4 linked regions of the Tamandua tetradactyla genome follow. The main gene of each other region encodes a partner of the protein of the gene in region 4 in a complex. Links are inferred from orthologs where the notes say so. Each region holds a gene or a part of one and is shown on either strand. Other genes may lie near its edges. The genes, in order: MED7, MED18, MED13L and MED4.

Region 1 (6,987 bases), on a different chromosome or scaffold from region 4:
AACAAGCCATCTAGAAAAATGGGCAAAAATTAAAACAATTAACCGAAGAAGAGCTACGGATGACAAATGAGCAAACGAAAGATGCTCAGCATTTGGGAAATGCAAATTATAGACACTACACAGCTATTAGAATGGCAAAAAGTAAAATAAAAATGACAATATAGAGTGCAGGGGAGGATGCACGGCATCTGCAACTCTCATACATTGCAGGTGGAAATGAAAACTGACTCAGCCACCTTAGAAAATAGTTTGGCAGTTTCTTATCTATTTACACACACACATTATAAGTCTCAGCAATCCCATTCCTATGTAGTTACTCAAGAGAACTGAAAAGTATATATTCATACAAAGACTTGTTCATGAATGTTTATTACAGCTTTATTCATTATCATCCCAAACTGTGGGTGACAACCCAAATGCCCATCACCTGGGGAAGGGATACTCCAATTTGGTGCATACAATGTAAAACTCCTTAGCTATAAAATGAACAAACTGCTGAAACATACAACATGGATGCACTTTATACTAAGCGAAAGAAGACGGGTTTTAAAAATCTACTTACTTTTTTATTCCACTCACATGGTGCTGTGAAGAGGCAAAGATATAAAGACAGAAGTCAGATCAATGTTTACCAGGGGCTGGGAGAGAAGGGAGAGGATTGACTACAAGACAAGAAAGGGATTGTTTGGGGCATGGAATATTCTACATCTTGAGTAGTGCTGGCCGTGGTTTCACAACACTGTGCATTTATGAAAAGTCATCATATTGTACACTTAAAGTTCATTTTACTCTGTGTAAAAGATAGCCCAATAAATTAGCCTTAGAAAAAAAATCAACAGAGTGGAGGAAAACATTTCCAAGTATCTTCGTTTGTCACTTAGTCTCAAATGATAAAGAACAATGCTCTTTAAAATGTGCCCAGCTCCTAAAACAGGAAAATGCTGTTAGTGCAGACCCAGTCTGTTTCTCTCCCCTTATCTCCTCCCACTTTTCCCTCCTGTGTCTCCAACTCAGGAGGTTCATGACTGCCTCAAGCAGTCGGCACCTGTGGTACCCTGGATCTTTGCATGGTGGGTTCTTTGTGACATTCGTGTCTCAGCTCCAAAATCACCTCCTGGGAGAAGCTACCCTGATCATCCTCTATAACATAACCAACCCCAAACCCACATGGCCATCACATTAATCTATTTTACCCCCAGTACTTATCACTATCTGAAATTTGTGTGATTGGTGTCTGTCTCTCTACTCGCAGGCAGGGCTTTATCTTTTTTTATCCTTAACCTTCTAGGAAAGTGCTTGACACAGTAAACATGCAAAAAAAGATCCACTTATTATTAATTACATTCATTGTCAAGTTATATGAGACATTTTTAAGGAATAAACTTTGCATTTAGATTCTGGAAATATCACCACGCAAAGAAATGTTTATTACATGCCGTATTCACTAGCCCTTCTCATGACGTGAATTTTATTCATCTGTAGCTTATTGGAAAGAAGGTAAGACTAAGGGTCAAGCATCGGGATCCTGCCACTAGCTGTAAGACCATGCATCATTTGGCCCATTAATTCCATTTCTAGGAATTTATCTCCAGGAAAAAAATGGGACCTATGCACAAACATATAGGCATCAGGCTGTTCATGCAGTGCATTTATAATAGCACAATTTGAGAAGTAAAAAAAAAAATTGTCCAGTGAGGCTTTGGCTAAATAAACTGCAGTATATTAATCAATATCACACTGTGAATTCCTTTAAAAATGATGATTACATTCATTTTGTTATCTATTCAATAAGTATTTATTGAGTGTTTGCTGATTTCACACACTGTTGTTCTAGGTATTGAGAATATGCAGTGAATAAAACAGACTCTACACTCCTGAATGTTGTATTTTGATGGGGAAGACAGACAATAAAAAATAAACAAGTACACTAGACAATATGATTTCAGATGATAATTTCTGTGCAAGAAGGATAGCACACAGTAAAGGGACAGAGAATGACTGGGCATGTGCAATTTTATATAGAATGGCTGGGGAAGAACTCTCTGAGAAGGTTAGATTTGACTAGAGACCTGAGTGAAGTGAGAGGATGAGGCAGGTGAACATCTGTGGAAAGAGAGTTCCAGGAATATCAGTGGCCTGAGACTGGAGTGTGCTTGGCAAGAAATCAAGCTACTGTGACCGAAGATGAGTGAGCCTCGAGAAAAATGGTCAGAACTAATATGTAGGAGAAAGTCAATGACTAGACTTTGTAGTGCCTTGATATGAAGAGAAGCCTTGAAAATTTTTGAATAGAGGAGTGACCAAAATCTGTCATTGATTAAGGGAGGTCAAAAAGTGGAAGCAGAAAGCCCAGTTAGGAGGCTATTACAGGATGGTGGCATGTACCAGGATCTTAGCAGCAGGAATGGTGGAAAGCAGGCATATTTAGGAATCTATTTATTTTCACAATAGAACGAATGTAAAATGCTGGTAGTTTGAACATGGAGTACGGGAGAAATAGAGGAGTAATGTTTTCATCCTTTGCAATTGAGTGAACAGTCAAGATGTCTAATACTATGGGATATGGGCTTCTGGAAGTTATCAGACTAAGAAGTAGTTTGAGAACTGAGTCCCTGGGCAATCCAAATGATCAAACAAATGTGTCAAATGCAGCTGAGAGGTGGGGTAAATGAGGCCTGAGAATTGACACTAAAGGTGACTAATATAGGCCACTCTGATATCAGCAGAGGGAACAAAAGCCTAACTGAAATTTGGTAAAAAAATAAACAAATTTCTTCAACAAATTGAGGTGGGGAAAAATCGAGTTGGAGGAGGGCATGTAGATTAAAAAATTAGTTAAGAGGCACAGCCAACACAACCAGCAGTCCTTGTTTGGATCTTGAGACAATTGGAGTTTGTCTCCAATTAAAGAATTATTGCTAATTTATTTTTAAATGAGATAAAATGGTTGTGTTTTAAAAAATAAGAGTCCTTATCTTTTCAAGATGCATGCTGAAATTTTTACGGATGAATTGAAGTAACAACTATGGGTAGGTAGGTCATTGCTGAACTTAAACGATGAGTACATGAAGTTGGTTTATACTATTCTTTCCACTCATGTCTGCAATTCTCCGTTGTTTTTAAAAAATCAACTACCTTATTTTTGAAAGGATTAAACAGAACTTTTTTATCAGAAAAACAATCTTATTTTCTTGTGCAGTCTATACTTTTATGATTTTCATAAAAGTTACGAACTTGTTCCGTTTTCTGCTAAAGTAAATCTCTACTTGGAAGTATTATTTGAAACGGTAGTCTTGTAAGACTCCCACGAATTTATAGGAATTTGTGGTATTTCCTGTGAAAATAACCTCCAAAATAAATCTTCAATTCTGATATTTTTAATAATTTGTATTTTTTTTTGGCCTGGAAATATAATAGACACCTCTGAATTCCTAACTGAAAATAAATGTGAATGGATGGTGAATAATATAATGGACATTATATTTGCACCAAATAAACCTATCTTCCTTTGGCCTCACACAGAAGTTGAAGCTTTAAAATAGACACCATATGATCACCATATAAATGGACATTATATTATTGATTCCCAAGCACGTTCATAAATATTTTCAGGTTAAAAAATCATAAACAGCATAAAGAGTCCCATCTCATTTTTATAAACGTTATAAGCGTTAGAGGTGACACAATTTTTAAACTATATGCTTAGGTGTGTTTTCTAATTTCTATGTAAGGGATATGGTAGCCTTGTTAAATTTTCAAAAAAATTTAAATTTAACAACAACAAAAAAGGAACAGAGCGACCAGCCGCTGCCACCACCGAAAGAAAGTTGGGGATATAGAGACGCAAACCCGCATCCACACCCGGTACTCAACTTCGTAACTAAAAAGTCAGGCGAGGCGGGGAGTAAGAGGGGTGAGCGCAGGCGCAATAGGAAGCCATCTGAGGCGGGACTACAATTCCGGTTAAAGGACAGCTCTTGCAACCAATCAGAGGGCAGCACCAGTGGCTTCTTCCTGGAGAAAGAGGCCGGAAATCGGATTTGGGCTGCGGTGGCGACGGCGTTGCCAGTGTCAACCTAGAGCTAGGTGAGTGGGCGGTGACCGCTTTAGGCTCGGGTATGCGCGCCTTTCTCCTTCCGGACCCCGCGGTTTCCTCAGGGCTGGGCTGGGAATGGGGGGAGTCCTGGAGAGGTTCGGCCTCCGAGGACGCTTGCTCGGCTTCCTCTCGCTCTTCCTTCGGGAGCCCGCGGGATGGCCGGCCGGCCGGGAGCTGTCTTCGGTGTGGCCGGCTGGGCACTTCTCGGCGTGGGGAGGTCGAACCGGTCTGGAGGTTGGGAGCCCTGGGTTCTAGCCTCAGGTTTTCCAAGCTCAGTGGGCTTGGGCGAGTCATTTCCTCTCCCCGGCTTTTTGTAAAATGGGGTCTGGAGCAGTTGTGAAATCAGCTGAGTTAAGGGAAGGGGGTAGGCATGGGGAAGGTAGATCCATCCATAACCACAGATTGGCCTGAAGACATTTTGAAAACCATCTTCAAAGTGGTCCTGACCACAGTAAGCCTACTGAGCCTTATCCCTGGGGGCGGGGCCCTGGAATTCCTGGGTGAGGGAGAGAGAGAGTGTGTGTGGCTGAAGTCCTCCAGAACCGGGCAGATACCAGAAGGTGAATCTTGAGTCTGAGAACCGCCTATGATGCGTGGCGCTTGTTTTACTAAAATAAATAAGACTCCCATCGCCCTCGAAAGTTATCTAGAGTTGATAGAGAAATGAATATAGTTTCTGCACGTTTCTACTGCACAATTAGAAGCGTCATAACTTATTAAGAGAGCTTGGGCTTGGGCTAAATAGAAGTGGGTAAAGACTCCTTGCTCTGCCATTTAATAGCCGTTTAATCTGGGACAAATACTTTCCCTCCTTGAGCCTTGGGATCCTCTCTCTAAAATGAAGTTGATAATGGTTCTTAACTCATAGACTTTTAGGAAGATTAAATTAGAGAAGATATGAACAGTGGTACCCATCATGCTGTTGGCCTTTGGAAAATGGCAGCTGAAGATGCTCAGGAGCACAGGACAAGACTCCTAATCTAAAAACAATCTTGTGTGTGATGAAACCCAGGCTGTCTAAAATTTTACTTTGAAGTTTCATATCAATGATAATTCCTTGATTTTCCTAATTATGCTGTGGTTACAAGAGAACATTCTTGTTAGGATGCTTAGTGAAGTGATTAAGGGTAAAGAGATGAGAGACCGATTAAGCAAAGAAGGAAAAGGCTAACATTTGAAGAATGTTCTTCTGGGTGAAGAATACAGGGAGTCCTTTGTACTACTCTTAAAACTTTTCTCTTAAGTCTGAACTTAAAGTAAAAAGTTTTAAAAATTGGTTATAAATATTTGCAACTAGCATAAGCTTGCCGTAAATAATTAAAACACATCTATAAAGACCCTTGTCACACACGCAAGCCCCTTTTTCCTGAATGGATTTATAGTATTGTATAGATGTGGATTATTTCTCTTTTCAAATGTGCTGCATTGAATATCCTTGTGCAGTTGCATTTGTGTATTTGTAGTGGTATTTTTATAGGATCAGTTTCTAGAAGTGGAATTGTTGGTTCAAACTGTATTAGAGTTTTAAATTTTCATATTGCCAAATTAAACTCCAAGTTTATACTGGTTTCCTTTCATAAGTGGTGTTCCCATATTTTGTTGGATTGTATTGGCCTGCCATCTCAGGGAGTTAGGCAGTGGTGGGGATGGTGGCTTCTGTGAGAGCTGAGGTGAGTGAGTTCTCCATCTGAGAACACTTCCTTGCTGGGATAGAATTAGCAGAAAGACCTTCCAGAAGTTGTTGCATAGATGTTCTTACGTTTGATGAATGATGGTTTTATTTACTTGAAAAAATGTATTGGTCTGAACATTTTCTCACTTTTACTTCGCATTTGCATTATTCTCTTTGTGGGTTTTTTTTTTTCTTTTGGGTGTGTGGGCCAGTAATTAAACCCTGGTCTCCTGCATGGCAGGTGAAAATTCTACCACTGGAACATTTGTGTACCCTGTTTTTTTAAAAATATTTTTACTGACATATTTTTGCATACAATGAGGTCCATTGACATATAATTAGTGGCTCACAATGTATCACATTGTTTTGTACTCATCACCATGATCATTTTTAGAACATTTACACCACTCCAGGAAAAAAAAAGAAGAAGAAAGAAAAGAATATGCATCCCATATCTCTTACCTCTCCCTCTCATTGACCAATACCTCTCAATTGGTATTGCAGTCTACCAATTTTTTACCCCACCCCACTATTATTTGTCATTTTTTGCCCATGTAGTTATGGTGTTTGAATAAACTTACCATACAAGTTAAATTGGATAATGCGCTAACAAAATATAAATTTTGCACCAAATAAACCTATCTTCTTTTGGTCTCACACAGAAGTTGAAGCTTTAAAATAACACCATATCATCCTTTACCCTGTATTCTGATTTGCCTTAGTCTTATCCAGATCAGCTTCATTCATATCTAGTCGAAGTCTGATCACTTTATCAACTTTTTTGACAGTTCCTTTGTGGGGTAATGCTGACTTTCATAGCTTTAGAGCTCTAACTCTGAGTCTCAGGTGTCACAGAAATACCTGAAGTTCCAGGGAATGACCAGGTTATACACAAATAGCTCAACATCTCAGAGTTTAGAAATAACAGTTGCAACTCTGGAATACATGGTCTGCTGTAAGAACTTACGATCTAGGAGCCTTTACTGTAGGCCCCAGCCTAATGACCCATGCTATCAACTTCAGTTCTCCAAGACTATATATATAGTTTTTTTCTTGATTTCCTCCTTAGATTGCTCACTACTAGTGTATAGAAATGCAACTGATTTTGGGATGTTGGTCTTGTGCCCTGCCACATTTCTGTACTCACTTATTAGATCTAGTAGCTTTGCTATAGATTTTTGGGGGGATTTTCAACATATAGTATCATATCATCTGCACA
Region 2 (7,005 bases), on a different chromosome or scaffold from region 4:
TCATCTCTGCATAGATTGTAAACATCATTTATTGGTTGTGTGGACTCAGGCAAGTCATTTTACTTCTGTGAATCTCTTTTTCCTTCACTATAAAGTGGAGAAGGTGTATCTAGCTTTTAGTAGTATTTACAAGATTTATAACTATATAGCATAAAATGACTAGCATGTAGCAGCTGCTCAATAATTGTGATCAACATAATTTTTGAGAACATGTATAAAGAAATATGGGATTCCTCCCCTTGAGATGTTTACTTTAAATATATAAAGTATATAAATAATACTTTATAAACATTATGCCCTTTTACTTTTACAAACTTCATCTTATAAACTACTATTATTATTTCCAATTTACTCAAAAGGAAATTGAGGCTCAGAGAAGGGAAGTAAGTTGCCTAAAGTTGCACAGCAGGATAGTGGTAGTGGCAGGTTTGAGCCCAATTCTAATCAACGAGTCTTATATCTTATCAAAGAAACCCATCCCTATAACTCAAAGGCCTCATCTATATTTTACCATATTGTTCACCCATTTTTTTGTTTGCTTGTTTGTTTTTTGTTTTACATGGGCAGGTACTGGGAATCAAAACCAGGTCCTCTGGCATGGCAGATGAGCATTCTTGCCTGCTGAGCCACCGTGGCCTGCCCATGTTCACCCAGTTCTTATTCATCCCTCTAAAAAAAATTATTTAACCAAATGTCATCTACTGTGAAATGCCAACTAAACTTTGGGATAAATACTATGGTGCCTCAAAGAACCTATAATTCACTGGTCTTTCTGTTCTGAAGTTAGTGTCTGAATAGGAAAGGAGAGGCCCGGTATTTTTACATCCTCCTCCAGTCATTTTGTCATTGAGAATTTATCACTCAGACCAATCTTGTGAATCACTAGTGTGGTCAGGGGTGCATCTTAAATCCTGAGTTATATGCAGCCTTAATAACTGTAAGAGGCTTATGCAAGGGCCAGTCCTTGGCCATCTTCTCCTCTTCTACACACTCTTCCTGGTTGATCTCATTCATTCTCATGCCATCATCTATGATCTATAAGGCAAGAATTATGAACACTCTACCTCTAGCCCAGCTCTTTCTCCCCTAAATTTTGGCAGGACATTGTTACTTGAGTGCCCCATAAACACTCATACTCAATGTGTATACATGTGAACTCATCTTTCTGACCCACTCACGTTTCTCCGTGTTTCCTAGCTCAGAGAAAAGAATTGCCATGGCCACCCAAGGTAGAAACTAGACATTTGTGACTCCTTCCTCTCTCTCTCTGCCTTTATCTCTTAGTCATCAAATCATTACACCTTTTATATTTTTTAAATCTGTCTTCTCTCTTGGAGTACTCTTTTAGCTAGAGTTGATCCATAGCTCTTAACTGGTCTCCTTTCCAAAGATTTTCTCCATATTGCAACCCCTGTGATCTTTTTAAAATTCACATCTGTTTTTCAGCCTGCCATACAAAGTCCTCCAGGATTTGGGCCTTATCTGCTTCTCCAGACTCTTTCTTACCCCTTCCATAGATTCTATCTATGTACCAATTCTACTTAACTTGATATCCCTTTGTACATAATATTCCCATTGCCTGGAACTTCCTTTCTGCCATTCACTGTCTGGCCAACTCTTATTTAATTTTCTGAGGCAGCTGGAAAGGGAAGGGGTGGGCGGAGGGACCCGTTCCTCTTGGCCTGCACATATCTAGCCCTCACTCAGGTCAGCACCTGAAAAGAACCAAAGAAAAGTGCAGCTCATCAATTCCTTATTAACATTAATAGAAGGGGAAGGGCCCCTCTAAGTCTTATAATGTAGTAGTCCCAATCTCAGAGTGCTCTCCTCCTTTGGAGAACACCTATGCTCACCCCCTTTGAGGGTGCACTTTCGCTAGTCATTAAACATTTTGGCTATTGTTTTAATTTGTTTAAGCTGCTGGAATACAATTTATCAGAAATGTATTGGCTTTTTCAAAGGGGATTTATTAAGTTACAAGTTTGAAGTTCTAAGGTATCCAGAGAAAGATACTTTGACTCCAAAGAAAGGTCAATGTCTGTCACATGGGAAGGCAGGTGGCTAATATCTGCTGGTTGTTCTCAGTTTCATTGCTTCCAGCTTCTGATTCCAGTTGCTTCCTCTCTAAGCGTCTGTGGGATCATACTTCGTTCTGGGACAAAACTCTGGGTCTCACCTCTTAGCTTAGCATCTCCTGGGGCCAGAGATTTCTTCTCTTCAGGTTTTGGCTATTTCTGTGAGTTCTTATTTAACACCTGGGCTATTTCTGTCCTGATCTCCAAAGGTCTGTGTCTAAGTTGCTTCTGAAGCAATTGTCCTTTTCCAAAATGTCTCCCTTTTTAAGGACTCCAGTAACTAATCAAGACCCACCTGAAGTGGGTGGAGTCACATCTCCATCTAATCAAAAGGTCACACCCAAAATTGGGTGTGTCACATCTCCATGGAAACAATCTATTCAAAATTTCCACCCTAAACAATATGTCTGCCCCCACAAGGTTGGATTAGGAAAAGAGCATGACATTTTTGGAGTACATAACAGTTTCAAACTACCACAGTTAAACACTGACCAGTCCTCAAATTATTTCCTGTGGCTCAGTGAAGAACCTGCATCATGTCAGGTCCTGGATGAGGTCTCTGAGAAATCCTGGGGCTCTCCAGCATCCAGCTGAGAACTCCCCAGGCTGTCTGGCATTTAGTTTATTAAGCTTTTGGCTGCACATACTGATTAGCTCTTAAATTCTTTCTTGTGACTGAGTTAACAGCCCTCACGGAGCCAGCCGCTGGTTGAGGTCTCAACCTCTCAGAACTCCCAGAACTCTGCAACATCACCTCAAGTTCATCCAGTACTAATTACCTCTTTCAGGGTACCCCCTTTGATCCTCCCAGGATGGGTCAAGTACCCTGCTTGCTTCCAAAGCAGCTGGGCTACTTTATATTTACCCATTTTATCAAGTTACATGGTGCTGTCTCCTTAGTTTAATTCTCCAATAGCGACAACTTGACTATAAACTCTTCTGAGGGTAGAAATGGAGTCAAATCAACAAGTAGCAGAATATTTAGAACACAGAAGACTCCCAATTTAAAAAAAGAAGAAGAAAAAAAAAGAATGGTAGATAGTGTAGGGGAACCATATCTAGAGTGACAATATACTGTAGTAAAAGTGTGAACTCTGAAGTCAGCTACTTAGATTTGTATTCAAGTCTCACTCCTTCCCTGAAAGTTAATAAACATCTCATTGCCTAAATTTTCCCACCTGTAAAATGACAGGATGCTGTGAGGATTAAAATTTAAATTTTGATATTTTGTTAACTATGGATTTTTTGCTTTAACTTTGTAAAATATCATTTTTATCGCTTAGTCATTTGTTTTTGTTTTTGTCTTTACACTTCTTTCAAATTTGTGCCCCAGGAGAGTGCCTCACAGGTCTCACCCTGGTCCCGGCCCTGCCCTCATCTTATGTGCTTGATATAAAAGCAGCTTTCCATAAGTATTTGTTGAATTTACTTATCTCCCTTTATTTTTATATTGAGTATAACATACATTTACAAAGAAAAGTGAACAAACATTAAGTGTATTACTGACTTCCCTAATTGAGAAGAACATTATAAAAGTTTTCAGTAATGAATAACAGTGGCGTCTTCATTTTTCTCCCTTGGGTAACCCCCCAAAAATGGCTTTTTTTTTTTTAATGTCTTTCTTTTATAACATTCTCCCCTTCTCCTCTCATTACTTTGCAGTTCCCTTCCCCAGGTTCTCTTTTCCTCTCTGAGAAGCATTGCTCTGAGTCCAAAGTTTAGGCATGATTTCTTTTTTCAGTCCTATCAGCCCCAGGAGATTTCCTACATAAAAACCTCTCCAGGTCGTCGAACTTGGAAAAAAAATGACGTCACGACCGCGGATCATTCCCATAGGAACGCCGCCATCTTCCATACAACAGCATCAGATCTTGCGCATGCTCGTCTGCTTGCACAGCGGAAGACGGTGTTTCGTGCCCTCTCGGCACCCGTACATTGAGGGATTTGGTAGACGTCTGCCGTCCTACCGGAAGCGGGAAGAAGAGTGGTTACTGTGGTTGTGCTTGGCCGTGCGCTTTCCCTGCTTAGGTAACGTGGGACTGGAAGTTGCTTGGAGCTGTGCTTAAAGGCTCCGAGGTGCGTGGGTGGCTGTAATTCCTGACTTTGCGAGAAGAGGCCAGAGCGCCCGCTAAGTTGTATTTCTAGTGTAAGTGGGTAAGTGGGCACGTGTTCTGGAAGCCAATTTAGGAGTAAACCTCATCTTAAAAGGACTTCGCTTCCCCCCCCCCCCCCCCCACTCACTTTAAAAGGCGCTTTCAGTGTCTAGGAGGCAGAACCCCTGGGTTTCAGTCTGGCCTGAGCTTTGTCACTGACTTGCTCTGTATCCTCGGGCCTCTCTCCTGGTTTCAGTATTTTCGTGTGTAAAAGGAAGGGTAGACAACGTTTCTTAAAATTTAGTTCTTTTGAATTTTATTGTACGTGCATTATGTCATTTGAGCTACACAGACTTGGGGGTCAGGTATCGTTTGCCTCATTACTGTTAGGAAGACACTGAGTCCAGCATGAGAGGTTGCTCAAGATTACACAGCTAGGTTTTGGAGGATTTAGAACTTGGGACGAGAACATTATGCTGGAGCAGGTCAGTCCTGTATATTTCTGTATCATCAATTTTTGGAAAAAAGACCTGTCTAACATAGCAATTACCAAAAAAAAATTGATGAATCTTTTGATATTAAGGCCAGTTACGCAAGCAGACCCATCATCTCTCCATCACTGATGTATAAACAACTCTAACTCTTCTCAGGTGTATCCTGTGCCTTACCTGATTGGGGGCTGAGTCTGATTCTTTTGTCTTTGACTTAATCAGTCAGACATAATGGAGGCTCCTCCAGTCACCATGATGCCTGTCACTGGGGGCACCATTAACATGATGGAGTACCTGCTGCAAGGTAAGTGAACCAGAGAACTTGGATGATTTGTCTCCCTTTATCTTATTCAGTTTCCCTGGAGATGGGAGACTGTTAATACAAAAGCAGCCTGCAGTTTCTGGCACTCCGTAGCCACCTTTTTTTTGTCCCTGCATTTTATTATGAAAAAATTAAAACATACAGAAAACTTCAAGGAATTCTGCAGTGAACCCCTGTATATTTGCTACCCTCATTCTAGTTTTCACTTACTATACTTCCCTTATTATGTATCTGTCCATCTCTCCATCCATCAGTCCATATTATTTTTTATGCATTTCAGTGTAAGTTGAAGACCTCAGTATATTTTCTCCTAAGTACTTGAGCATGCATAAAATTAGAGTTCAAAATTTGTTATTTTCTCTGAAGTAAAATTTATATACAATGAAGTACATAAGTCTTAAGTGGACATTCCATGAATTTTAACAAATGCATTCACCTGTGTAATCCAGACCCTTTTCAGGATATGAACAGAGAAGGTAATGATTTTCAGAAGGTCATATAATGTTTAGTGGAGAGTTTAGACTTTAAATCAGATAATTCATTCAGTAACTTAATAGGCTGGGAATAGGGTTATTTTTACTTCCCAACTTGCTCCTCCTTCCTTCTTCTACATCTCAGTAAGTGGCCCTCTTATTTACCTGTTGCTTAAGCTAAGCAATTAGGAGTAAATCTGTTTTTCATTTTACTCCTTCATCCAGTCTAAGTCTTTTTTACTTTATTTACAAAATGTATTTTAAATATGACTTTTCTCCACCTGCAATACCACTGCCCTAGTTTGTCATCTCTTGTCTGACCTACTTTACTAACCTTCTGCTTCTAATGTTCCTTCCTCTTTTGCTCCTCTCTTGTCCCTTGTCATACAACAGCCGGTGATCTTTAAAAAAAAAATTATAAAAAATATGAAGATAAAAAAATAGACTAGTATACTGAATATTCCATATTCATCATCTAGCTATGCTAACATTTTGCCATATTTGCCTCATTTGTTTTCCTTTGCTGATATTTTTAAAGAAAATTTCGACATCATAACATTTCATCCTTTAACACTTCTATATGTATCTCTTAAAAAAAAGCATATTTTCCTCCATGATCGCAATACCATCATTAGCATTTAACAAAATGAATAATTTTTAATGTCATGTAATACCTAGTCCATATTCAAAATTACTCTGAATACTTTTTTCCCAGGCTTTCAAATGACGTTCTCATTTTCATCATTTGGGTCTCAGGTCAATTGTCTCTTGCCTTAGAAAAGCCTTCTCTGACCATTCCACCCCCTCAGAAAGTTCTTTCCTTCATCCCCACCAGTTGCTCTCTACTCCGTCTCTCTTTTATTTCTTTGTATTTCTGTTAATTTGTTTACTTAGTGTTTTAGTGTTTTCACTACTAAGCCCTAATCTCTGCAGGGCAGGGCCTCCTACTGCCTAGCACAGTGTCTGGCACAGCCTTCAGTAGGTATATGTTAAATGAACCAGCACTTGTTAAGCATTTAAAATGTTTGAGGAATGTAAGAGGATAGATAGGAGCGAAGGTGATTCTCTAATGGGTCTAGAAGTAGTGTTAGCATATTGAAGATGATCAAGATTCAAAGGGGTGGTATAGACCTACGTGTCCCACTGATTCACACTAGAAATATGAATGAGCTCTCATAAGAATTACTTCAAAGATGTGATTCTTGTATAAAGAGTGTTTAAGTCCAGGTTACAAGGGGAAAACTGCTGTTGCATGCGATGAGCTATGTTCAAAAGGAAGCCATCAGCACTGCCACAGCAACAGCAGAGGTAAATAATGGGGTGAGGGACAAGAGTTAAGAGGAGATTTAGATTTCCTATTTGGCAAGGGTGTGTTTATTGGTTTTCTGTCTCTTGGAAACAATGAAATTATCTAAAATTGAGAATGTTGATGGATTGTGAACTTTGGGCCTTCTACATGATGCCTGATGAATGCAGGTGGCAGAAGATGCACTGATAGAGAAGTAGATTGGCAACCAATGGTGTATACTTATGAACGAAGGTTGTGCTGCT
Region 3 (6,843 bases), on a different chromosome or scaffold from region 4:
TGCGTCTTTAGCATTTACAAAATGCTCTCTCTGCAGCTGCTGAGGCCTCCGGTTAGTCTTCCTAATAGATGGTTCCTCCTTTGGTCATATTTTTGCTTCCATTTTCACTCTGCCATTACATTTGGTAACCATGAAAAGGAACTAACCTGTCATTCTCAGAAGGCGGCCTGAGACCTGTGCTGAGTAGAATTTCTGTTTCCTGCCTAGGAAAGGCACTCTCACAAATGGAGAAACTAAGTCCCGAGGATGCTTAAGAGGTGTCTCTGACATAGGGAACTGCACTTAGAAGCCCTGGTGCTTAGTTCCTTTCTTTAATACTTCCTATTAGATAATTGAGGATTTTGTTTTTGTTTTAATTTTATCTCCTGAGGCCTTCCGTCAACTCCCATTGCTTTCTCTATTGAGAAAGAACTCTGCAGATCTTAATCAGTGATCTCAACTGTGCAGAGAATCAAAAAAATTCATTGTTAGAAATGACCTTAAGGCTCACCCAGGCCACCCTTTTTCACCCAGAAGGAAACTGAGGCCCAGAGAGATTAAGTAGCTTGTCCAAGGTCACCAGGCTGCTCAGGGGTGCACCTGGGACTAGAATCGGATTCCCCTGGGTTCTCTTTCTGTACTCATGTTGCCAGGGCAACCACACTCCACACTTCTGGCCTTTTTTCTCCCATTTTGGTGCCTTGGCTTCGACAGCCAAAGAAATCTCCTTGGATGAGGTTTTTATTTGTTGTTGTTTATAACATACTGCCTTGAATAGGTAATATATGCATTTGGTTTAAAAAAAGAAAAAGAAAAGGAAATGCAAAAAGCATAGTAATTCTTCCCACCGACTTCCAGGTCCCCAGTCCCCCCTCCATAGAGGCAACCGATAATAGTGTCTTGTGTAACCTGCCAGAGTTACCGCTATTAAGAATATATTCTGAAATTATTTTATATTAGTACACATAGTGCTAACTGGGTATTTTTAGTGGTTGCTTGAGATTATATTATTAACCACTTCCCAAGTGATGAACACATACATTGTTTCTAGATTTCACCATACAAACAATGCCATGCCCTTGCACTGCAGGTCTTTGTGCTTCTGTACAAGTCTATCTGTTGGATAAACTCCTAGAAGTAGAATTGCTGGGTCAAAGGGATGTACATTTTAAAATCTGATATTCATCAAATCAACATCCAAAGCTGTGGTGCCAATTTATATTTCCAGTAAAATGTAGGAGAGCCTTGCTTCCCTCAACATGTATCTAAATTTTAAAAATATGGCCAATACTTATTCTGGTTTTAATTTGTTTTTCTTATGATGAATGAGGTCGAGCATCTTTTTATACATTTAAAAGTCGTATGTATTTCCTATTCTGCAATACTGGATTTTGCTCTGTGAGATTTTTTTTTTTAAATTGCTGAAGAATGAGCGCTTGGTAACCAGGTAGGTGTGTAGGATGAAGCCCATCTGGGGTGTAAGTACATGGAATGTGAATAAGGGTAGACTGTCGTACCATCTTATTGTTTAGGCCTAAGTAACACCAAGCATGTTGACAAACTGCTTTGGCATTTTTTCTAAACTTTCAAAACCAGTAATCTTAATATACATTCACGACATTGCCCTGAGGTTGGTGGATCAGTAATTAGGATCCATCTCTGACAGATTAGAAATGAGAGTTAAATTCTTTTGGTTAAAGCAACATCATCAGGGAGGCAAAGCCAGCTCCAGGCCAGCAGTCACCTGGCTTCTGGTCTAGCATCTGCCCACAGAGCCTCCTGGATTCATGCCCTAGCTCTGGAGCCTAACAGATTTGGGTTTGAAACCAGCTCTGCCATTCACTAACTGAGATACCTTGGAGATGTCACTGCATACCTCTGATCCTCACTTTATTACAGTCCAAGGATAATAACAAGTGTCTGCTCTATGTGGTTGTTATGAGGATCATGTGAAATAATGTACGCACATCCTTCATAACACAGTGTCCGCGGAATTGTAACATAGTGTCAGTTGTGATAATAACAGGTAGTATAACATGCTGCTCATGGGTTTTACTTTAGCAGTGTTTGGGAGAGTTCCAAGTCTCAGTTCACCTCTTAACTAATCCCCTTTCCAACTCTCTCCTCTCTTTTAGTCTAGTCTCCTTGAAAGAGCTAGCTCTTCCACGTTTGAGGACATATTAGTGAAGTTTTTTCCTCCCCACCTTTGCAGGGAGTGCACACTTTGAAGACTGGGACAGAGACTATTCATACTGGCGCCAACCGAATTCCAAAGCTATACAGTCTCAGGAAACGTTTATTGAATGGAGTCAGGAGGGTAGGTCTGCTCCCAACATAGCCTGAGCACAGTGCCTGGCACATAAGTGGGGAAATCAGTTATAACATATTGTGGCAGATGGCAAGCGCTCAGGAAACTTTTGTGCAATGAATAAGAATGAATGGATGCACACAGTGCCTAGCAGTGAGGTCTCAAGAAGCATTTATGTATTAAACGCCTAGTACCTGGTATACAGTAAGCGCTCAGTAAACGGCAGCTGTGAATATCCCGGGCGAGGTGCCTGGATTCCGATGTCGGCTCTTCCTTTTCCCTGTAGTGCGACCTCGGGCAAGTGACTTAATTTCTTTGTGCTTCAATTTTCTCATCTATAAAATGCAGACCCACCTTCCGGAGTCAGGTTTTTCCCTGAGACGCTCGCCAGAACACTCGGACTCGCGGCGTGGCTCACAGCTAGCTTCCGCCACGCCAGCCGGTTTGGGAGGCCGGGTCACAAGGGAGGGGACCCCGTGCTCTCCACTGCGGCCGCAGCGGGCGTTCCGGGGTCCGTGGTCGCGCCCCGCAGCACCCCGGGGCACTCCGCAAAGATCTCAGCACCCCGAAGGGGCGGGGCCCGGCGCCTACGCGGGGCAGCCCACGGCAACCTCAAGTCGGCAGGGTGCACCTCGCTGGGGAGCTGGGGAGCTGGGGAGCTGGGAAGCCGGGCCGCCAGCACTTCTTTTCTGTCCCTCTCTGGCTCTCCGTCTCCCTCCCTCTTCCCGGCCTGAGAATCCGCCGCACTCGGCTCAGCAGCGCCTCCCGCGAGCTGCCGCCGCCGCCGCTCTGGGCCCCGCCCCCGCACGCCCCCCCGCGCGGCCGGCGCCCGTCACGTGCCGCAGCGCTAGCCAATGGCGGGCCGAGCCGCGGTCGGCGGCCGCCATTGCTGTCAGAGCTAGCGAGCCGGGGGAGGGAGGAGAAGCGAGGCTGACTGGGGAGGAGGGGGGGGTGGGGGAGGAAGAGGAAGGAGGGGACGTCGCTCGGCTGCCGGGGTCGCCCGCTGGCTTCGTCCGCACCCCCCCCTTCGCGAGTTCGCGCTCCGCGGCGGCGGCTCCGAGGCGGCGGCGGCGGCTCCGGGGCCCGCCACCCCTCACGCGCCGGCGGGGGCCGAGGAGGAGTCGGTGGCTGGAGATAAACAAGGCGGCGGCGGCGGCTGAGGAGCAGGGAAGGCGGAGGCGGCGACCGGCCCGCATCTCCGGTCCGGGAGGCAGCGGCGGCCCTGAGAGGCGGGGAGGGCGCCGGGCAGCGCGGACAGCGCCCCCCGCCGCCGCCGCCGAAGCCGCCGCCGCCGCGGAGCAGGAAGGAGCCGCGCGGCCGCCGCGGACCTCCCCCCCACCCCACGCCAGCCCGGGCCCGCCGCCCCCGGCGCGGCGTCGCTGCGGCGCCTCCCTCCCGCCCGCCAGCCGGCCCTCCCGCCCTCCCTCAGCGCGGCGGCGGCGGCGGCGGCGGCGGCGGCGGCGGCGGCTGCGGCTGCGGCTGCTGCTGCTGCCGGGCCGCCCCGCGCTCCGCGGCGAGGCGCCGCCGCCCGGCCCGGCCTCGCCTCGGACGCCTCGCTCCGACATGCCCCGCTCTGGCGGCCGGGCTCGCGGAGGATCATGACTGCGGCAGCGAACTGGGTGGCGAACGGGGCGAGCCTGGAGGATTGTCACTCCAACCTCTTCTCGCTGGTGAGTAGCCTAGCTGCGAGGAGGGGGTCGTGCCGGGGTGGGGGTGGGGGTCCCCCGACCTCAGTCGCCGACCTCCGCCACCGACCAACTTTCTCCTCCCGCCGCCGCGACTTCGCCCCTCCCGCATTTCTCCCCGCCGTTCGCCTCTCGTCGATTCTCCCCCTTTTGGATCGTCTCTCCTCGCCTTGGATCCCATCCAGTGTTTATTTGGCTCTTTAAAAATCATTTGTGAGCACGGCGCTCGGCGTGGAATTTGCATGTGGAAGTCTCAGAGCTGCGGATTCTGGGTCGCACTTCGAACGCCCACCCTCTGTTGCAGTCACACCCCCCCTTCCCCTCCCCTTTCCCCCCTTTTCCCTAAGTGTGGAAGGCTTTGCCTTGTTGCTGCCCGCGCCGAAGATAAGCAGCCTTTTCGCCCCAGTCGGATCGGCTGCCCGCTCGCCTGCCTTTTGAATTTTTTTTTTTTTAATTCCGTAATGACACCTGCAATTTCGCCCGAAAGCAGTTGATTGAATGCGATTGTGTCAGTAAAGGACTCTTGCCACCGAAGCTCCTGAGATTGTAAACATCGACAGCCGCCTGCCTCTCGGGGCTTACTACACTGGAGCCAAGGCACCGAGCCGGTAGAAGGTGGAGAAGGCTTTTTCTTTTTTTTCTTCCCGTGTCTTTTAAAAACTGTTTTCTCTGTCCTAACAACGAATCCACACACATACACAAAAGCAACAAGCTGAGCGGTGTGATAACATCGCTTTTATCTGCCTTGGCCTCTCTCGCTCGCTCTCTCTCTGATAATTGACAACTTTTCCTTCGGATTTGAATCGCCTTAATCTTGAAGCAGTTGGGGTGTCAATTGTTCTCGTAGAAACCTGGCACCCGATGACAGCGTCTAGATTCGTCGAAATTAAAAACGTGTAGGACTCCCCCAACTCTTTCCTGGTGTTGGCAGTGACAGTTGGTGGTAAATGCCATCTTTGCTTTTTATTGGGTCGTATTACCTACCTCTGGAAACATTCACATTGTTAAACCTGGCGTTTAAGCTAATAATTTGCAGTGCGTGGTCTTTAAATATGTGCTTTGTGCATGAGTTACTGTATGTATAGCTATGTGCCCGTGAGAATACGAATTTGTTTAAATATTGAGCAAAGATTTGTAAACAGATGTAAGGTAATTATGTTTCAGGGGTAGAATATAATTAGAAAATTGGCTAAAGGATTTATTTAATTTAGCCTTAACAAAAACCAACTTATATTAAGTTGTGTACCCTGTTTTGAGGTGACTGCTTTTTGGAGAGCATTCATTTTGGAAATTATTTTTTTGTAACCTCTGTGGTAAATAGAAGCATCATTTCCTCTTAATCCTTGTTAATACTGGATAAATAATTTAGTGTTCAAAGTGTAATTAGTTATATTTAATTATGGGTGGCATAGATTTTTTTTTCTTTGAGACCAGTGAAGAAATGCAAATTCATGCCAACTTTTCAAATGGAAGTGCTATTTTATTAAATATGTTACAGTATTTATGCAGCTCAAAGAAAACAACACATGCGATTTTTTTAACCTACAAAGACTGAGTGACATAGTGTCTGTGCTTCCATTATAGTAGGATCAGGTTTCTTTCTTTTTCTTCAAGCATTTTTATTCAGATATTTAATCGTAAAATTCAGTTATATGCAGGGATTCTTACTCTCAGTAGATTTTTTTACTCAGAAGATTTTTTTACCATATGGGAATAAAACTCTATATTCCTCCTCTTTTTTTTCCCCCCTCTGTCTACCATTTACCATCAGCCAGGTCCAGGGAGTTTCATAGATTAGCAGATATTGATTAAGGGATATTTAAAGTGTTGTTTGGCAGCGGATGACCACACTGACACTTTCACAGGTAATTAAAATAACCAAATAGGCCAATATTAGTGAAGAAAGATCCCCCAAATTACCATAGATCATGCTGAGGACTAATGGCTTGTGTATATGTAGCTAATTTTTATATGGTAGATTCCTTAGACAACTGACAATATATGATATGTATAGGCAGTCTCTAGGATGTGTCATTTCTTTTATCTTCTTTTATCTTTTAAATGAGAGTCATGTAGAGAAAAGATTGAGATTCTTTTGGAGAAACAAATAGTTTTATAGGAGAGGATTCTGTACTTTGTAATGTCTAACCAAAGGTTGTGCTTTGGGTATTTCTACCCTAAATCTTTTTAAACAAGGAACTGATTTTTTAATATATATGTATATTTTTAAAGAATGACTTTTCAGGTAGTAACTTTAAAATCGTAACCACAGAAATGGGTATGTTGATTTGTTTAAGACATTAGAGAGTCTATTTGTTGCCTTCCCTGTACATAAAGGGTGCTAATTTTTAAAAATTATCAGTTAAAAAAAACTTTATTATTGTACATTTTTCTGATTCCAAATTAAGAATTTTCATTGAAAATCACATGCAGCAACAACATAAAGTATTAAAAAATAAGTTCCCTAATACATTATATATGATAGTTGATAATTCCAGAGGGGATTTCATTTCCTGTTCAAAATAAAGCATGACTTATAAGAACTCTTTATATGCTTGATACTAGCATATTTTTTCTTTTGGTCTGCTGTTTCTTTGAGCAGAGTTGTTTATAGTGAATTTACCTAGATACTCATTGGTATAGATTGAAATATAAACTAGAGATTAAAGTTCTGTATCACAGTAATGACCCACCCACTTTCAGTTACCTTGAGGGGTTCATTGTGGCTTAGCAAAAGTTGATTGCGCAATTAGGTGCCTTAAGATTTCTGCCAGTGCTTTACTGATTTTGTTTTCCGATTTTTACATTTCTACCATCTGCCATCAAATTTCCTAAATTCTCTCCCCACCTTCTCCCAACCCCGTTTTTCTA
Region 4 (7,319 bases):
TTACACCAAGTAAAGCTCAGAAAAGTAAAGAATTTACAGGGCTCTAGAGCATAACAGTGAGAAGTAACAGCCCATTCATTGAATGAACCGAAAAGGCAAAGATTTGAAGATCTAAGATGAAGACCTACTCAGAACAAGAGGCAGCGGCAACTATTTCCTGGAGGAGTGCCACTACCAAGATAATATATTTACAGAAAAGTTCATTGGTACCATCCATACCATAAAACTGATTTTAAAAAAAAGGACACTTTAACTCCATGAATTTCAAACTTAACAGTACCATCAAGATTCCTAAGCACAGTTGCTTGAAGTCAACTTTCAGGTTAGAATGCTCACAGAAGAAATAGCTCAAAAGCCATAGTTCAAGCAGAATGAGATCCAGAATTCAAGAAACTGGAAGAACTGGTTTAGACAGAAGCAAAAGAAGTATTTTCCAGCTAAGTATTAGTTGTTCTGAATCAAATGGAATTCAGATTTGTATCAGAACAACATTTGTATCAAAGTATTTAAGAGACTTAGTTTGCTCCAGCAATGAGTTTAAAGTTACATCTACACAGAGCTGTGCTGAGGTTGAGAAAACTGAGTTTTTCAAATGAAGAGCATTTGTGGGATGATTTAGAGTTTAATAACTTAAAAAGAAAAAGAGCACAATGTGAACTAAACGAAGCTTCTATTTGCTGTCCCCAAAACAGTTACCTTATACAGTTCTGAGTCATAAATAATTTAACTGGAAACATTATACTACCAACTCTCAATCTTGTTAGTGTCCTTTTCCTAAGAAATAACGTGGGTCTTCATTCAAGAGGATTAACAAGGAAACTGTTAAGTTCTCCACCACAATCTACAAAACCAGCAAAGACCTAGACAGAAATAGCACTTACATTAAAATGCGTAAACATTTACACCAAGGCAAAACATTAAGACAGCTGCCTGTGCTTATGAGTTTTTCATTCACCACTGACCACAAATGAAGATTCCAACATTGTTTGCCATCAGGCAGTATTCGAGTTTAATACAAACTAAACACTGAATTAAACACATAAGCTACATAAGGACAAATACTGGTGTCCATGTGTTTGAGGTTTTTCTTATATATTTAATATCAGGCTAACCTAGTAACTTGGTAAGTAATATGATGGCAAGAACTAAATTTACAGCAATTTAGTTAGGTATATTTCAAAACACAATACGTAAAATTTATTCTAGAGCTATCAACAAATGTTGGCTACAGAAAAGATGACACGAGCTGGATTCTGAAAGACGAATGAATGATTCACCAAGTAGGAGATGGAGAATGGCAGTGAAGTTGAGTAAGTAGTACTTTTTGAGGGTGGGGAGTACTAATCTTGGAGTGAAGGGTATAGACTGATGTGGTGGTACAGGAGGATAACAGAGTGGATTGAGAGGAGATAGGGAAGGACTGCACAGAGTGAATTAAAAGAAAATAGGGACTTTACACACTGTCAGTGAACAGTCCTGACACCTATTTATATAAGATAAACAGCTTCTCCCTCTCTTCCCCGGGTTCATACCCCTGCAAAAGTCAAATACAAACTCCCCAATCCCTGCTCTTTCTTGACTAATCGCTAGAGCTCTGCCCCTATAACATCACAAATGCACAGTCTCAGGTCCACTGTAACCTTTGCTACGCACCTGCTTGGTTGAGCATACATTCCTGACATGTTCTCCCATGTGAGCCTGCAAGTCATGCCACTCCTCTCTATTCCAGGACTTTTAAGGACTAATAAACTCTTCTTTCAAACATCTCTAGTTATCACTTGTCCTGCTATTCCTGGCTATCTATATAAAGAACCTTACAACACACCTACTTGCACACTAAACTAAGGAACCTGGACTTTACCTCATCGGACAATGGGAACAAACCCATCAAATGTTTTTAAGATAAGAAGTCACAAGAGATGCCTATTTCAGAACGATAACTCTGCTCTTGGGCAATACAGAATAAAGTGCAGAAGCATGAAGGCAAGTAAAGCTGTCGGGAGGATACCTTAAAAAATAGTTGTGACAGCGGGGATGGAAATGAGAGCAAATCTGAGCAACATTTCAGGAGATAGAAACAATACAATTTAACACCCAAGTGAATGTGACTGGATTACGGAAGGCTCCAACTTTACAGTACCATTAAGGGTGACAGAACATGGAGAAAGACAATCTCCTACCTCTAGGCCACACGCTGCACTACATCCACCCCAAACAACTTGGAATTAATTACACCAGCAAGTCGCGCCTTTGTACTTGCTCTTCCATCATCCCGCCGCCCGGTGAGCCTACTGAACTCCGTCCTGAGCAGCCCTTTCTCCAGGGAGTCTTCTCTGACTACCTAGGCATCGGAGCAGACCTGGTCCTTATGCTACAGGAGCCCGCAGCCACGCCTCTGATAAAAACAAGCTCCGCATCGAAGTCGCTGTTCACACGTTTGCCTCTCCCTCTTGACACTGAGCTCCTCCAGGATGGTAACCAGACTCCCGTTCACTACAGCCTTCCTATCGCCTGGCACCCAGGGGGCGTTCCATAAATGCTTGTTGGGTGTTGGAGGACCGGGTGATGTCCAAGACCCAATATGGCTATCGTAGCCTTGGGATTCCAGAGTTATTGTCATTATTCATATGCGCTGATGGGGAAAAGCGCGGCCTCGGATCCCGGGAGGGTTGCGGAGGCCACATCGCGGATACTGGTGCACTGTCGTTGGGGGTACGTGCCGGCGTTGCCCGAGCACGACCCTTCCCGCCGAACTCCAAGAAGCTCATCGCGGGGTTGCCCAGCTCCGGGGTCCACCCTCCCGGCCCTACTCCACCGGCCTTCAGGCCAGCGGCTTTACCTCGACAAGACCTCCAGATCTTCCAGCGCCGAAAACAGCCGCTCCCGCGTGCTGTTTCCGCTGGCCGCTCCCGGGCCGCCTCCGAATCGATCCTTCTCCTTCTCCAAACTCGAAGAGGCCGCCATCCTCCCCAACCGCCAGTAGCCGGCGCATGCGAGCGTCGGAAATGACGAGCTCGGGAGGCGGAAGGAAAGGTCACCGAGGCGAGGCGAGGGAGAGTCCTGACCAGAGCGTCCCCAAGGTGCCCGGAAGTACACTGTGGGTTTTGGCGCCATCTGCTGGACCAGAGGGGATCCTTGGTCCAAACCCGACCGGCCAGAGCGGTACCTTAGTGAGAGTACGTAGGGTTTTTCCATCGGGAGCTGGAGATTTTGGCTGAATGGAAATTAAATAATCGCCTACTGCTTGTGTCAGTTTACTCGTGAAATCTGCATGCCTATAATGCTCTTCTAACCCTCCATCCTTGCCTTTCGAGGAGGCTGTTTCCGCAGAGGCTGGGCTCCTAAGGATTTCTTGAGATGGCTGTTGAGTAGAATGAATTAGTATAATATGTCAGTAGTGGTTAATGAGAACCGTTTACATGAAGAATTGGATCACACATCCGGTGAGCTCAATCAGAACCCAAAGCCAAAGCCGAAAATCCACTTTTGCCCACTTAAGTCTCAAGTAGCTCACCTCTCCTGGAGACAACTGTGGAAAAGGGGATTTTCCTACCAGGGAAGCTTAAAGCTGCAACAGTTTGGGGAGTGAGGACCCCATACCAGGTCCCTGTCATAGAGATGTCACCTGAAGACTTCTGAGAGTAAGGCTGGAGTATTTGCAGGATCATGGCCCGTCCTTTTGGAAGTACTGAACCTGACTGGCACTGTGCACCCAGAAGTGATGCTTCCTTTGGGGATTGATGCTAAATAAATTCTCTCGCTAGTAATTGCGGTATAAACCAGAATGCCAATTTATTTACTTATCGGGAAAAATAATAACGCCTTAGAGAATCCTACACGGGAAACCAAATCATCCCCCAGAATGCTGGTTCATGACCTTGGATGTGTGCCAGTTTGAAAGGATTGTGTACCATACAAAAGCCATGTTTTAATCCTGATCCATCTTGTGGACCAGCCATTTCTTTTAATCCCTATTCAGCACTGTAGGTTAGAATCTTGGTTAGATTATTTCTATGGAGATATGACACACCCAATTGTGGGTATTACCCTTTGATTAGATGGGTATTACCCATCTATTCCAGCTGGGTCTTGATTTGTTTACTAGACTCCTTTAAAAGAGGAAACATTTTGCAAAAAGCTTCAGAGCCACGAGAAGCACGAGAGCCCATGCAGCCAGAGACCTTTGAAGATGAAGAAGGAAAATGTCCAGGAGAAACTTCTGAAACAAGAAACCTGGAGAGAAAGCTAGCAGATGTCGCCCTGTTCACCATAGGCCTTTCCAGTTGAGAGAGAAACCCTGAACTTCGTCAGCCTTTCTTGAGTGAAGGTAACCTCTTGTTGGTGCCTTAATTTGGACATTTTTATAGACTTGCTTTAATTGGGACATTTTCACAGCCTTAGAACTGTAAACTGGCAACCTAATAAATTTCCCCCCTTTAAAAGCCATTCTGTTTCTGGTATATTGCATTCTGGCAGTTAGCAAACTAGAACAGGTGGAAACAAATGAAGACAGTTGGATCTTGATGAATGCTTTCAACAGGTTTTGTATCTCCCCAGTGTAAAGATATTTAGTGTTTAAGAGACTGTAATATTTGTGTTAATTGGTAGCATGGCTCCTTCCCTAGAGAGTTCAGGAGAGGGACTCCCACCTTTTGTGTTCGGACCATCCCCCAACTTCAGGCAATAGAATAAATTAGATGTAAGCTTTCTTAATTGCAGTAGCATTCTAAGCATGCCTCCCAGAATCTCCAGTAAGTAATTTCTTGCGTTAAGTTAAAGGTGCCAAACTCTTGTAGTATGGTGATTTTGTTTACTTAACTCTGAAAGGAAAATTTTGGTCTGTGATACTGGTGAGCCCTAGAGGGGAGATCTTATTAATATAAGTTCCCACATAAATTCTGGGAGAGTTCCAAATGGTTAAAAATGACCAATTATAGGTCCTACTTTACTATACATTTACTATGCATCGAGGGTCAGTTTATGGTGATTATATGTTTATTGTGAACTCTAAAGCATCTCATATTTATTGCAAATTCATATGCACTCTGAGCATTGCCAACTTTCTGAGAAGTAATAACATCTTCTACAAATGAACTTTTTTGCAAAATATGCAGCTCTAGGTGTGATAAATAAAATACATGTTATTTCATAAAGCTTTCATTTACTGAGTTAATGGTAACTTTGGATGCTAAGCATTTTCTTAATCTATTAAGATTCATAACCTTATAGTTATCCTTGACTCCTCTCCTTTTTTTTTTTTTTTTTTTTTTAATTAACCATTCACCACGTCCAATCCTTCAGGAGATCAAGATGGTTCTGCCTTCAGAATGTGTCCAGGACTTGGCTTTCCACCCTTTCCACTGCTACCAGGTCTATACCTCCTCATCTCTCGACCTCATTTGCTGAAGTTGTCTCCTAACTGTTCTCAGCTGCAGACAGAGTGATTCTCCTAAAGCTCAAGTTTAGATAATGAAAATGAAATGCAATCCTAAATGTGGACAGGATCCAAGAATGGAGGAAAAAGGCTCAGAAGGTCATTACTGGGGCATAAGAAAAAATTGGCATGCAGAGTGTAAGCTTTTTATCAACGCTAAATTTCTTGAACTTGATAACTGCATTTAAGGTGGCTACATAAGTGAATAGCCTTTTTCATAGGAAATGTACATGGAAGTACAATCCATTGGCCCCAGAAGGCCACATGGTCAACTTCCTCACTTCCTCCAAGACTTCCTCAAATCTTATTTCATCAAAGATGCCCACCCTATTTACTATTGCAGTCTGACTACCACATTCCATCATGTTTATTCCTTTTTACTTTTTTCCCATCATGCTTATCATCTTCTAACATCCTATACAGTTAAGTTGATACGGTTTTGCTAATTATGTCTTCCGTTATATGTAAGCTCCAAGAGGGCAGAGTACTTTGTCTCTTTGGCTTACTGACACATTTCCAGTGTCTAGAATGATGACTGACACAAGTAGGCACTAATAAATATCATTGGATTTATTGTTGACTGTGGTGCTGAGATCACCAAAAGCCAGACTCAAATAGGAATAAAAGACAATAAAAAAATTATAATGATCTGTATTTTTGCCTCTGAACAGCAAAACTTTATTCTCAATATTTCCTTTCCACATGCTCCTTGAAGATTCTCAAAAACTCCAAATATTTATAACTTCCTCAACCAAATATGGAATATTCTGCAGCCATGTGGCAGCCATTTTCCTGGGAGCCATGCAACTAAAGAAACATAGACTTTAGTCTATGTAAAGAATCCAAGCCTCTTCTGTTCTGAATGCTTTTCTCACAGCCAGTTCCCTAAGTAAATTTGTAGGCTCATGTTCAAGATCAAGCCTGCCAAGGGTGGGATGGAGAATCAGTCACAGGCATTCCTCTCCCAGAAGTCTGGGCAATGAGAGAAGACAAGCAGGCTGTTGCGTTCATTAGCTTCCCTCTCCAAGAAACAAAAAACCTTTAGACTCCACCTCAAAGTCTGGGTCTCAGAAAGTCTAATCCCTAGTAAAAAATATTACACAATTTAGGATGAAGCTCTAATACCAAGAACCACCATTTATGGTTTCTGAAACCATAAAACACCTCTGGAAATGCCACCAGTGGTTGGGTTTGAGCAAACTGATGGCTTTTAGGGAAGGAAAACCAACTTTTAAATCAATCTCAAGAATGTCTCAAAATGTGCCATTTTAACTGCACTTAATAAACCAGATCATCTCAGTTAAATCCAAATAGGGCAGCACTACATCAGTAGAAGTTTCCTGTCCTCCTTACACTGTGAAATCTTCATCAGAATACTCCTATCTTCCTCATTCCAAAGTCACAACACAACAAAAACCACCCATTGTCCAAAATCACTCAATGTTATTAAAGTCATTAGCCTTGCAGGAAGTGTGGCATTTGACATTGACTCCCTACATTCTTGTGCCTTGAGAGGAAAAACAGTTTAGGTTGAACCTTTCATTGCCTTTAAATATTTGTGGTGTGGTTGCAGTGGAAAAGGTCATGTAGAACTAATCAGGCTTTCTAAAAGTAAAGTCTTATCTCTTCCCTGAAATTCTCTAGGCTTCCTTGGAAACTTGCCACCTCTCAGTACTCAAAGGAAAGGTGGGCATCATCACTGGCCTCTTTTGATAGATTCATTTATTCTTTCAACAGTGTTTATTAAGCTCTGTTTTTATACCAGGTACCACACTGAAGGCTGGCGCTATAAAGGTGAACAAGACAGCAGTTGACAATGCTTCTTTGAGGAGATAGAGGCAGAAACTCATAAGAGCTAAGTGTTGCAGGTGAAGCAAGAAGATTG

What was found.
Region 1: MED4 (region 4) and MED7 share a complex: the UniProt entries of both Homo sapiens proteins name them as parts of the mediator complex. The link is inferred for Tamandua tetradactyla from reciprocal best matches to the Homo sapiens genes MED4 and MED7.
Region 2: MED4 (region 4) and MED18 share a complex: the UniProt entries of both Homo sapiens proteins name them as parts of the mediator complex. The link is inferred for Tamandua tetradactyla from reciprocal best matches to the Homo sapiens genes MED4 and MED18.
Region 3: MED4 (region 4) and MED13L share a complex: the UniProt entries of both Homo sapiens proteins name them as parts of the mediator complex. The link is inferred for Tamandua tetradactyla from reciprocal best matches to the Homo sapiens genes MED4 and MED13L.

The regions. Positions count from the first base shown.
Region 1 is NC_135346.1:38,235,685-38,242,671, reverse strand, and holds the start of MED7 (mediator of RNA polymerase II transcription subunit 7), read left to right. Parts: upstream 1-3,976; 5' UTR 3,977-4,086; intron 4,087-6,987. UniProt on the Homo sapiens protein: Component of the Mediator complex, a coactivator involved in the regulated transcription of nearly all RNA polymerase II-dependent genes.
Region 2 is NC_135328.1:197,874,015-197,881,019, reverse strand, and holds the start of MED18 (mediator of RNA polymerase II transcription subunit 18), read left to right. Parts: upstream 1-3,983; 5' UTR 3,984-4,103; exon of another isoform or gene 4,104-4,229; intron 4,230-4,818; 5' UTR 4,819-4,890; coding exon 4,891-4,963; intron 4,964-7,005. UniProt on the Homo sapiens protein: Component of the Mediator complex, a coactivator involved in the regulated transcription of nearly all RNA polymerase II-dependent genes.
Region 3 is NC_135331.1:16,692,179-16,699,021, reverse strand, and holds the start of MED13L (mediator of RNA polymerase II transcription subunit 13-like), read left to right. Parts: upstream 1-3,817; 5' UTR 3,818-3,885; coding exon 3,886-3,957; intron 3,958-6,843. UniProt on the Homo sapiens protein: Component of the Mediator complex, a coactivator involved in the regulated transcription of nearly all RNA polymerase II-dependent genes.
Region 4 is NC_135330.1:110,209,810-110,217,128, reverse strand, and holds the start of MED4 (mediator of RNA polymerase II transcription subunit 4), read right to left. Parts: upstream 3,005-7,319; 5' UTR 2,965-3,004; coding exon 2,840-2,964; intron 2,811-2,839; exon of another isoform or gene 2,360-2,810; intron 2,346-2,359; exon of another isoform or gene 2,181-2,345; intron 1-2,180. UniProt on the Homo sapiens protein: Component of the Mediator complex, a coactivator involved in the regulated transcription of nearly all RNA polymerase II-dependent genes.